Linked DNA regions of Caenorhabditis elegans. The protein of the gene in region 2 purifies or fractionates together with the protein of the main gene of each other region. This does not show direct contact. Each region holds a gene or a part of one and is shown on either strand. Other genes may lie near its edges. The genes, in order: egl-27 and sem-4.

Region 1 (4,833 bases), on a different chromosome or scaffold from region 2:
ATGTCAAGGGGCAAAGAATTTTTCCAGTGTTTCAATTATTTTAAAGTTATTTTAATTTCAATTTTTTTAGTATTTTAAATTTAAAAAAGAACTCACCTTAAACATGAAACTGGTTGTGTAATTTGTAATTCCGAATTAAATAATTCTCGATTTAATGATTGCTGAAAAATAAATGTGAGTAATTCTGAAAATCTTAAAAATTAAACTAACTGGACATAAATGTGGATTGATTTCAAGCTCAGCTCGTTCTTGTTTCATTAAATTTAAAGATATCTCAGGTATATCGTCTGCTCTGAAGTACCTCGTAAGTTTCACTACCACGTGATCTCGTTTTGTCTGAAAATTGGTATTCTTTATTTTGTTTTGAAAAATATATAATCTCTTATCATTTTTTGAATACTATGTGTAGCCCTGTCAAAGGAATTTACCTTTTTTGATAAACTCAGTTTTCGGCTTTGAAAATCCAGAAGAAAAATTATCCCTGCGTTGTCAAAACTAGAAAATATTGTAATTTTGTTGCTCTTAGAATTTTGGCTTTAAAAACTAGTTATCCCAATTTCCTATTTAAATTCTAAAATAAGCTCATCAGTTGGTCACGTGAATGTGCTTTGTCAACAACAAAGAGGAACATTATGTTCTTCTCACAGCTCATAAAAGTGAGCAAACTTTCTACTTTTATTGTGTATACTAAAATGTATGTTTTTGTGATGATACTATAAAAGTGTTTGAATTAAAAAGTTTATGTTTTTTCACTTTCAATGCATTCTCTAATTCTCAACGACTTCCCGCGCAATCCGATTATGACACGGTTTTTAGTGGGTTCTGAAGGACGAACAAGTGGGCAAATGACTCAATGACATCTTCCTTATACTTTTATGTTTAAAAAAGTATTCAGTGCTATCAGTCGAAAGGAAAACATGAAGGGAATACATGAACCCACTAAAACTGTGTCAATATTTACACAAGTGCGGTTCTCTCCTCCTCTAAACCAGTAGTTCAAGGAACAAGGGAATGAAGAGATATAGAGAACAAGTAAATTGATAGTTGTTTGGAATTTGAGAAGAGGTCAGCAGAGATTATAAAGTATCAAAGAATCTCTAGTTTCAAAAAGAAAACCTCATTTTTCATTTTCCAAAAAGTTCAATTTGTCCTTAAACCCCCTTTTCTATCAATTTATTTCGAAATTGTCAAACATCACCCGGTTTCTCGCAACATTAATTTTTAAATGCCGAATTTGTTATCTTATCGCTACATTCACTGAGTGTTGCCCATTATATAAATATTTCATTGTAACACTGTGGAACGATTTGATCTATTGTGGTTCTGATTTTTGAGGAACAAGTTTCCAAGAAACAATTATTTCAAAAACCTTAATATGGCAGAACCATCTGCTGACATGCCTCACGATCTCATTACTCACATATTTAAATCCGCATATTGCCGCTATCACATACGGCTCGTTTTGTGACACTTCTACGAATACTGAATCTCGTAGCCTGTACAATGTGCCATCATGTGATTGAAACCCTTTTAGATCACTGTCTTGTCGATACCGGTATACCTGAAAAAATATGTTTAGTAAATCAGTAGATTTGTATGTTTCAAACTTTCAACTAACGATATTATATTAGAAACTAGTCTGTCTTATTTATCTTTCCGGTTTCTCTGTATCTTTGAGGTGAAATGAACTAGTGTTCACTTGTACTTGTCGTCTGCGTCTCTCCTCTCATTAGCTTCAGTTGTCAATTGGCACCTCGTCTCACACTAGGTCAATGCCAACTAACACTAAACTGTGAGAGAATGAAATATTATGAGCGCACATTTCAAAACAAACAAACAAATCATATAATGCGGCAAAAAATGTTTTTTTGTGTTTGTGTGTCTATTGTCGCATAGTATCTATCTTTTTAACTCTCAAGCGTCTCTTTTGTTTGTACTCTCTTGAGGGAAGAAGCATCTCTCTGGGGTCTCCGAAAACTTCTGTTGACTTTGCTTTCCTTGCCAGCCAGAAAAAAGCAATTGTCTCGAATTTCAGATCAAAAATTGGGCAGCTGTTTTTGCCTCGCTTCGCTTTTTTTTGGAAAACATGCGCACAATTCGAGGAAGTATGCTGCCGACTGACAACTAATCTAGTCAAAGTTCAATTTTCAATTTTTGACGAAACGAGAAGAGAGGTCACTTCGGTTTTTTTTTCGGCTCGCGATCTTCTCAGTGTTTGACTATCTGGTTCTTCTCGATTTGAAGCTCGCAATGTGTGTGTGTGTAAGCGCAATGTTTGAGGTTTAGCCATCAAAACGTTTCGCAGAAAAAACGGGTGAAAAAAGATTGAAATCCAGGTTTTTGTCTATTTGTAGCGATGTTCGTCTAATCGGGAGAGAATTTGAATTATGACCAGCGTCTCCTCTTCCTTTTGACCTCCCCTACACACTAAACTGCCTAAATGTCTGTGTCTCTTCCAAAAACTCGACAGAACGACAATTAATTGGTTTTTCGAGTGTTGAGATATTGAAGGGGAAGAAGATACGCATACATAAGATGTCTATTCAGATTATAACTATTAAAGAGTACAGGAAATTACTCAAATTTCAGATTTTTGAATTAAAAAATGACTTACTATTCCACGGCAATTCCTATCCGATTTGCCTGTAAGACTATAATAACATGGTTCAATATCGTAATGCTTTTGGGAAAATTCTGGTTCGTCATCGTTTTCCATTGGGGAAGAAACGCCGTCTGAAATTTGATAATTTATATTTTAAATTATTTCAAGTAGGCGGTCTTTAGAATCTAGATCACACAATCAAAAGTTACAAAAAAGAATTGCCGCATGTGTCTTCTTATGTGTTCGTACATTTGTTCGACTAATCCGCTAAGCGCTAATCCGCAGCGAGAATCATAACATTTTACGCTGGTGAAGATGGGGCCATCTTTCTAAAAGAACGGCCCCCACTGGGAATACCCGTATCTAGGTTGACATGACATACAAGAAGACACAGAGACGGTTCAGTTACAATTTCATTACCTTGGCTATCCTCAGATGACGACGGCACACATTCGTCCTCTTTGTTGACGTCTTCACTACTGCACTGGCTGTCAAAGCGGCTCATCTTTGTCTTGTTGCCTTTTTTAGTTTTTCCAGTTTGCTCCCCCAAAAATGATGAACTATCCTAAAGAATTGGTCTTAATTTGAATCATTGAGAACACACGAAAATCAGCTGGATAAAAAATGAAAAGATGAGATGAGAGAGGAAGATGGTGATGAAAAGCACAGAAGTTCTTTTTTCTTTCCCTCCGGAACCCTCTAGAGCCTAGTAAAAACACAAACTAGAACAGCACCGAGGGATAGAAGAAAGGAAGACGGGAGAGAGGAAAGGGATGAAGACGGGGTGGGGTGTGGGAGTGGCGTGGGGCGGGCGAGGGTCGTCGTCGTCGGTTAGTGGGGCACATACACAGAGCACATACACGACTGGTCCGTTAGGAAAAGAGACATTGGCGGCATCGCCGTCGCACCGCATTCATCAAATATTTTGGTGTATTTAGCAGCAGGAGCAGGACCACCGAGCGCCAAGGAATCTGATTGACTCGGAAGATCCATTAGAAGTCAAATACAACAGTAATTGGTAACACACATTTTCTAACTTACACAAATCAAATCTTTTCAAGAACTTGAATTGTTCACTATTTTCACAATCAATTAAGATCACAAGAGAAAATGTTTACTTAACTCAAGAACTTGATCAAACTTCATAAAATCCTTCAAAAACCTTCAAGCTTAATAAATTACTGTAACTCGTCATACGTTCGCACCTACTTAGCGCATACTAACAGATGATAGTAAATCGCAACATCATCCATTAAACGACTTGTCTTGTCCAGCATGTCGCTCAAAAAAGTCAAGTGATGATAAGAAAGAGGAAGAACGACAATTGTCAAGAAGGGGCAAGGTGTAGGAAAAGAGCTCAGTTTTCACACGTGACCTCGGCTCAACTTTCAGAATGAGTCCTGAAGTCTAGATCCTAGTGGACACTGTACTCACATTCAACTACCATAAGAATTGGGGAAAAATAAGTGTGTGTGAGAGAATGAGAACTGTAAAACAGACGCAGAGAATAGTGCTAGTACATACCACAAAAAGGTGGAATAGTCGGTGGAAGGGGGAGGACGGTGTGGCGGGAAGGGAGGAGAGGTAGTCACCGAAGGAAAAGAGAGAGAGAGAGGTAGAGAGAGACAACCCGAGAGACGAGACAACCGATGTATGTTTGCGATCAAAAACAGTTCGACGGTGACAGTGACGACCTCAAAGCAGACCGCCACTGTGTCTTGGCTTTCCATGACGTGGCAACTTTTTCAAAATATGAAATAACTCATTACAAGTGTTGTTGTGCTCTTTCATTCAACCAAACAGTGAGGAACGATGAATTATAAGAGAAAGGGGGAACGGGGGATTAGCCAGAATTGAATAGAAGAGGATGACCTGCTAATGACAATATGGCAAACAAGATGAGAGTCTTATGAATATCATTTGAACATTTTGAGAATCAAAGAACTGGCAACATTTCAGATGTTTTCTTTTTCCAAAATTTATTATGATACGACAGCCATTTTCACACAGTTCGTAATGTGCATAATAAAAATACAAAACGTGGGAGAGACCTGATGGTTGGTGGTCAGGTCAATTGTCAGGCTAGACAAACATAAATGAAAGACTCATGGGTGGGAGGAGACTAACCAACCAGATAGATAGTTCAAGTGGAATACACAAAACTGACGTGATAACAACTAAACTGTCTAAATTTCAATTTTCAAGACATACAAAGAGAAATACGAGTTGAG
Region 2 (5,231 bases):
AGGCAGCAAAAAACGAAGAAGGAGGTGGGTTTAACGGAAAAATTAAGACGATGTCAACGATTGATTATTGACAAAAAGGGCATGATTTGATTAACTTTTCCGCATATTACAACTAATTCGAGTCGATTGGGACACGATGTGTCTACAGAGGAAAGATGGAGGATACTGTAAATATGATAACGGCCGATTGAGAAAGGGGACTATGATTGTACAATTAGAGACATAATTTGAAGTTTTCAAACGAACAAATTAAAACATCGAAGCAAAACGACAACTTCAAGTATTTAGATCAAAAGATCCAAAGTAAATCCTGTTTCTTCAAAAAACACTGGAAGCAACAAATTTTGAACTTTCTAGATATCTTCAATTGTTTTAATATAATTTTGGGTAACCACACAAAATGTCGCTGTACATTAACTGTATAAAGTAAATTTCAATTTGAAAATTTTTAAAGTGAATGATTCATTTCTTTGAGAACTGGAAGACTGCTCAAAATTGGATATTTTTAGGCTTTAATTTTTTTAAATTAAAATTTCCAAAAATATTCCAAAATGTTTGCATACCCCTAGAGACCTTTACAATTATAATTTTTTCCGAATTCAATTTAAGAGCAAAATTACGGTCCTCCAAAGTAGTAGTAAATAGACTCGAAAAATCTGCTCTCAAAAAAATTTCAGCTGAAAGTTAAAACAAAAAATCTCGTCAAACTGCTCGGAAAATCAACGATATTTCTTAACCAACTTTAGCGTTTTTCTAGGTGCCATTTACGGAAGTGGCCGAAGTTGGCGAAATTTGGCTGAGAATTTGGTGACGAGTTGCCTTTTGCAGCTGAAATCTTTCAATTATCAGATAGTACTGGATTCAAAGGAACTACCCAAACTTTCGTTCGAGGCGAGAATTACATGACGCTATCTATTTTCAGTTTTGAACTGTTTGATTGTGCAAATATCGTAATTGAGCCCCTTAAAATAAAGTACTCTGGTAACTGCAACTCATGAGCAAAAACTCAAAAACTCTTCATTTTTATCATCTTATCTGTGTGCGAGTCAGTTGGTTTGATATCATCCATTCAATAATAGTCTCATTCATTCTCTTCTCACGCGCTCATAAAGAGTCCTCCAATGTTAATGAGTGTTATCCAAACGCTCCTCCTCCCCAAATATCTTTTTTTTCAACTCATCTACCTCTGCTACCATCAAAAATCCATAAAATATATGAGATGATGATACTCTGCTGGTCCTCAAATACACACTCTCACACACACATTGTGACACACACACATAATGTTTCAATTTTCGTCTCCATCGTCCAACCAATTCATATTGCTTGTTGAAGGAGGAAGCTCTGATATTGCACACTATTTCTCTCGTATTACACAAAAACACTATAATAAATGATCGAGTTTCGAGGGGAGAAGACCCACAGAAGAAGAATTCTGATTCGCAACAACAACGTCTTCATCCTGCCACTCTAAACTTCTTTTGTGTTCGATCATAAATTCGATTTTATGATGGCTCGACTCGACTCGTGTCGAAGGCGGCGGCTCGCGGACCTCGAACACAATAATGTTGCCACTTGAAGCACAAAAAAGAGAGAATCAATAAGGCTTTCAATAGAAAAAAATAATAATGGGCTCAGCCAATGGAAGAATCAGCAGAGAGATGAGATGACAATAAGTCTCAAGTCTCACACACAAGAGCACTTGTTCGTCACAAAAAATGATTTGTGAAGATGAAGCCGAGAGCTGATGGTGGTGGTTTAGAGACAACTGATACCGGAAATTATGATACAAATGATACACTTCTTTTCTCAAAGATGAATATAAAATTTTTTTGAGCATACGTGCCTGCAAGGCAACCTCGGCCTAATAGTAAGCCTATATATCTTTAAATAAAAAAAGGTTAATCTTAAATTTCAACATGTTTATAGAAAATATACGACTGTAAAATTTGTATGCACATACACAGGCAGAAAGTACCAAGAAATATTCTGCATACAAAGTCATGCTCTAAGAGACTGGGTCTTCACATTCATCGAATTGTCAACAGCTGTTGAAATGTTTGACAGTACTGAATGGAAAATTAAACTTTTATTGTCACAGGTGAAATATTTGTGAAACTCGTTTTGGTTAACATTATCTACTAAAAACTTTCAAAACAAATTTCAGTCTTGCTCTTTGAGCTGGACACCAAGTTCAAATTGTCAAATTGTCATCCCCTTTTCAACATGCTCTCATCCTTTCTCTCTCATGTCTGTCTGTCTCAGAACTTGCCAAATTGATTGGTTTTCTTTTTCTCCGAAACTCTTTCTCCCTTCCCCTTGCACTCCCATATTTGGACATTTTCTCTCTCTCTCTCTCGTTTCTCTGCTTTCTTGCTCTTTTTTCTCTCTCACTTTCTCCTCATAGTCGCTTATGATTGGATGGAAATGTGACGGAGGGGCGGAGCAATATGAAAAGATGAATGGAAATATAATAAGTGTCTCTGGTCTTCGGGAGGAGCTCTTTGGACTACGGTAGGTTTTGATTGGTTATGATTGAAAGAATCGAAGGAAAAGCATTGAAAAAACACTAAAAATGAGGTAAGAAGATACGAAAGAGATAGAGATAAGAGATATGTTATCATATTTGACAAGGTTCTGTGTTGGAAACATTTTAATGAAAAAGTGTTCCTTGAAGTGGAACAGATGTGACAGATTTCTCATTAAAACTTAAAAAAATGAATGAACGAGAAATATATGATAAATTATATTTAAATGAAAATGCCAAACTAGGATGGTTTTGGTAATATTAATTTTTTTTTAATACTGGTTTTCTAGCAAATGTCTCGTCCGAAACTATTCGAAGTAATATGAATAATATTGATAAGTTGATAAGAGGAATTGACATTAAAATTGTAAATTTACACCAATTTATTGTCTCCTTCCAATTTTCATTACTTATGTCCCAAAAACCCATAAAAACTAGTGATAACTGGTTTTTCTAGAAAGTCTAAAAACCTTCAAAAATGTAGAACTAAAATGATTTTGAAACATTCCAAAAGTGCGTTTTAAGTTTTAATATTCAACTTTGTTATTTTCGCAGAAAATTTCAAGATTTCAAGGTCGATCATCATCGCCTTGTTTCATTTTCTTGTCTTTTACTTCATTAAACACCCCGCATTTTCCTCTCATTTCCCTCAACTTACCACCAGACATTCGACGTGGTTTTGACTGTTTTCTGCGGGATGAAACCGCGGCCATCTCGGCGAGCAGCTCATTCATCTGGAGCTCTGAAAAGTTGAAATTACTAGAAGATGAGCATGATAGGCAAAGAATGAAAGAGTAATAGTGGACAAGAAGAGGGAAAAAAGCAGAGAAAAGGATACAAAACAACACACACAGAGAAAAGAGACAGAACAAAAACGATTTATATTAGAAAGATGAGAAGGCGACGGGACAAGGGGGCACATATTGCGAAAACAAGGCTATTATCAAAATTTATATTATTAGAGTAAAATGGTAAAAGTATTGAAGACACGAGATGGCAGTAAGGGAATGGGAATGGAATTCAATTGACGATAAAAAATTGAACTTTAAAATAGAGTCATTAATCATAAATGATATTGCTCGAATGAGCTAGTTATCGAGCGGCGAGCCTATAGTCTAAATTTGCCCATAATGCATTTTTGGAATGAACATTTTTGAATTATGCACCGGCTCGCCATTTGTCTTTGCAAAAGTTACGAAATACTTGGTTATATGACTGGGTTTAGGCCGCACCCAGATTCAGCCCAAAATTGATCTAACTCTTTTCAGCGTCTCAGCCAAGTTTAAAACGATACAATACAAGTTTCACAACAGCTAGATAAAACGTGAGTTTAATTTGGGTACATCATAAACCAGGACTTTCTCAAGTTTGCCCCGAGCTTTGTCAGTTTTTGAAAGAGTAATTTTTGGATCAACCATAGGCAATCAGTTCGCGCCAAATGACGAGTATAGCCGCAGAAGAATCTTGAATCGGATGATTTTTTTCGAGTGTAAATATGAAATTTTGTTGTTCATGGTTGGGTAAAGAAAGAATATCTCAAAAAATGATCAGGGGAAGGTAGTGAGTGATGATGTGAGTAAGTGAGGGTGTAGAAGATGAAAATCGTATAAAATGAGTGAGTGAGCGGTTCCCCTTTTCCATGAGGTGGATACGGTGTTGCAATTGAAATAGTTGGAAAAAAAGGATGGAAAAAAGATCGGATCGGTATGAATATAAAGTGCGAGATGCGGTTGAAGATTCCGTTAAATTTGGTGGGGTCTGAGTTCTGTTTGTGTGTGTTCTACAGGCTTTTCGGATTATGAGTCATCAGATCTTGTAGACTAGAATTATTTTAGGTTGAGTTGTAAAGTTTGATTTCTAAATTTAGATAGGAAATGAGGATCGGACGTTTTCAGATACAAGCCTTAGTGCAAAGCTAACCCAGAAATTTGTTATAGATACATATATCGCTATAAAGTGACAGTGTCCCTTTCTCGCAAATTGTGGCGTCACAATTAGTTTCTAGTACAAATCATTTTTAAAAATCATGCTCGACGCCAGACTACAGAAAAAATGGTTGCTCCGTCTTGCAGATGTTAAGCTTCTGTAAGTGAGCTCTGAAAGGTGTTAGCTGAGATATTAAAAATAACATGGCAGGTTGAAATTGTTTTATGTGAAAATGGAACTACATTATTGAAAGTTCTCAAGAAAGTCTCAACCTCAGAACTTGACTAAAAAAGCAGAAATTTCTAAAAATGGCAAATCAATGAATGAATAACTGAATTACTTGCATGATTTGTTGAATGATTGATAAAACACTAATTGAATTAATGAACACAGTCAACCCCAGAAAAAGTCTTTTTTTTTCTCTCTTCATCAGAAGACGTCGTCGATGATTCGAGACGAATTTGATGATAATTGTCACCCCCGTGGTGGTGGTGGTGAGGGGAGACATATTCGATTCGATTCGCGCCAGGTACTCATTCTTGTACCTGACGCTCCGGGCGCCTGTGTGAGGGACGAGATATGATCTGGTAAAATATGAGTTGTTGCAAAAGAGAGAGAGAAGGCGACCGCCACGGGAGACCGACACGTCTTCTCCCTCATACATGACTCCGCCCATTTTGTTCTTTTTCTTTTTCACTCCGTTTCAGAACTGATAGAGATGCAAGTAGTTTGGGCCCCCGGCAGTTCCGAGACCCAAAAGCCCCGCCCACTTTTAAAT

Evidence for each region.
Region 1: the proteins of sem-4 (region 2) and egl-27 purify together in Caenorhabditis elegans (affinity purification with western blotting, with the first as the bait; one study listed by BioGRID). This does not show direct contact.

The regions. Positions count from the first base shown.
Region 1 is NC_003280.10:6,833,355-6,838,187, reverse strand, and holds the start of egl-27 (Egg-laying defective protein 27), read right to left. Parts: upstream 3,168-4,833; 5' UTR 3,108-3,167; coding exon 3,023-3,107; intron 2,734-3,022; coding exon 2,615-2,733; intron 2,602-2,614; exon of another isoform or gene 2,495-2,601; intron 1,562-2,494; coding exon 1,421-1,561; intron 337-1,420; coding exon 211-336; intron 162-210; coding exon 97-161; intron 1-96. UniProt on the Caenorhabditis elegans protein: Transcription factor which promotes stress survival and delays aging. Required for cell cycle progression and development of the mesodermal and endodermal embryonic lineages.
Region 2 is NC_003279.8:7,036,938-7,042,168, reverse strand, and holds the start of sem-4 (Spalt-like protein sem-4), read right to left. Parts: upstream 3,270-5,231; 5' UTR 3,262-3,269; coding exon 3,186-3,261; intron 1,529-3,185; exon of another isoform or gene 1,458-1,528; intron 1-1,457. UniProt on the Caenorhabditis elegans protein: Transcription factor, involved in positive and negative modulation of transcription. Binds to multiple DNA sequence motifs in the regulatory elements of target genes, including homeobox selector egl-5 and LIM homeobox mec-3.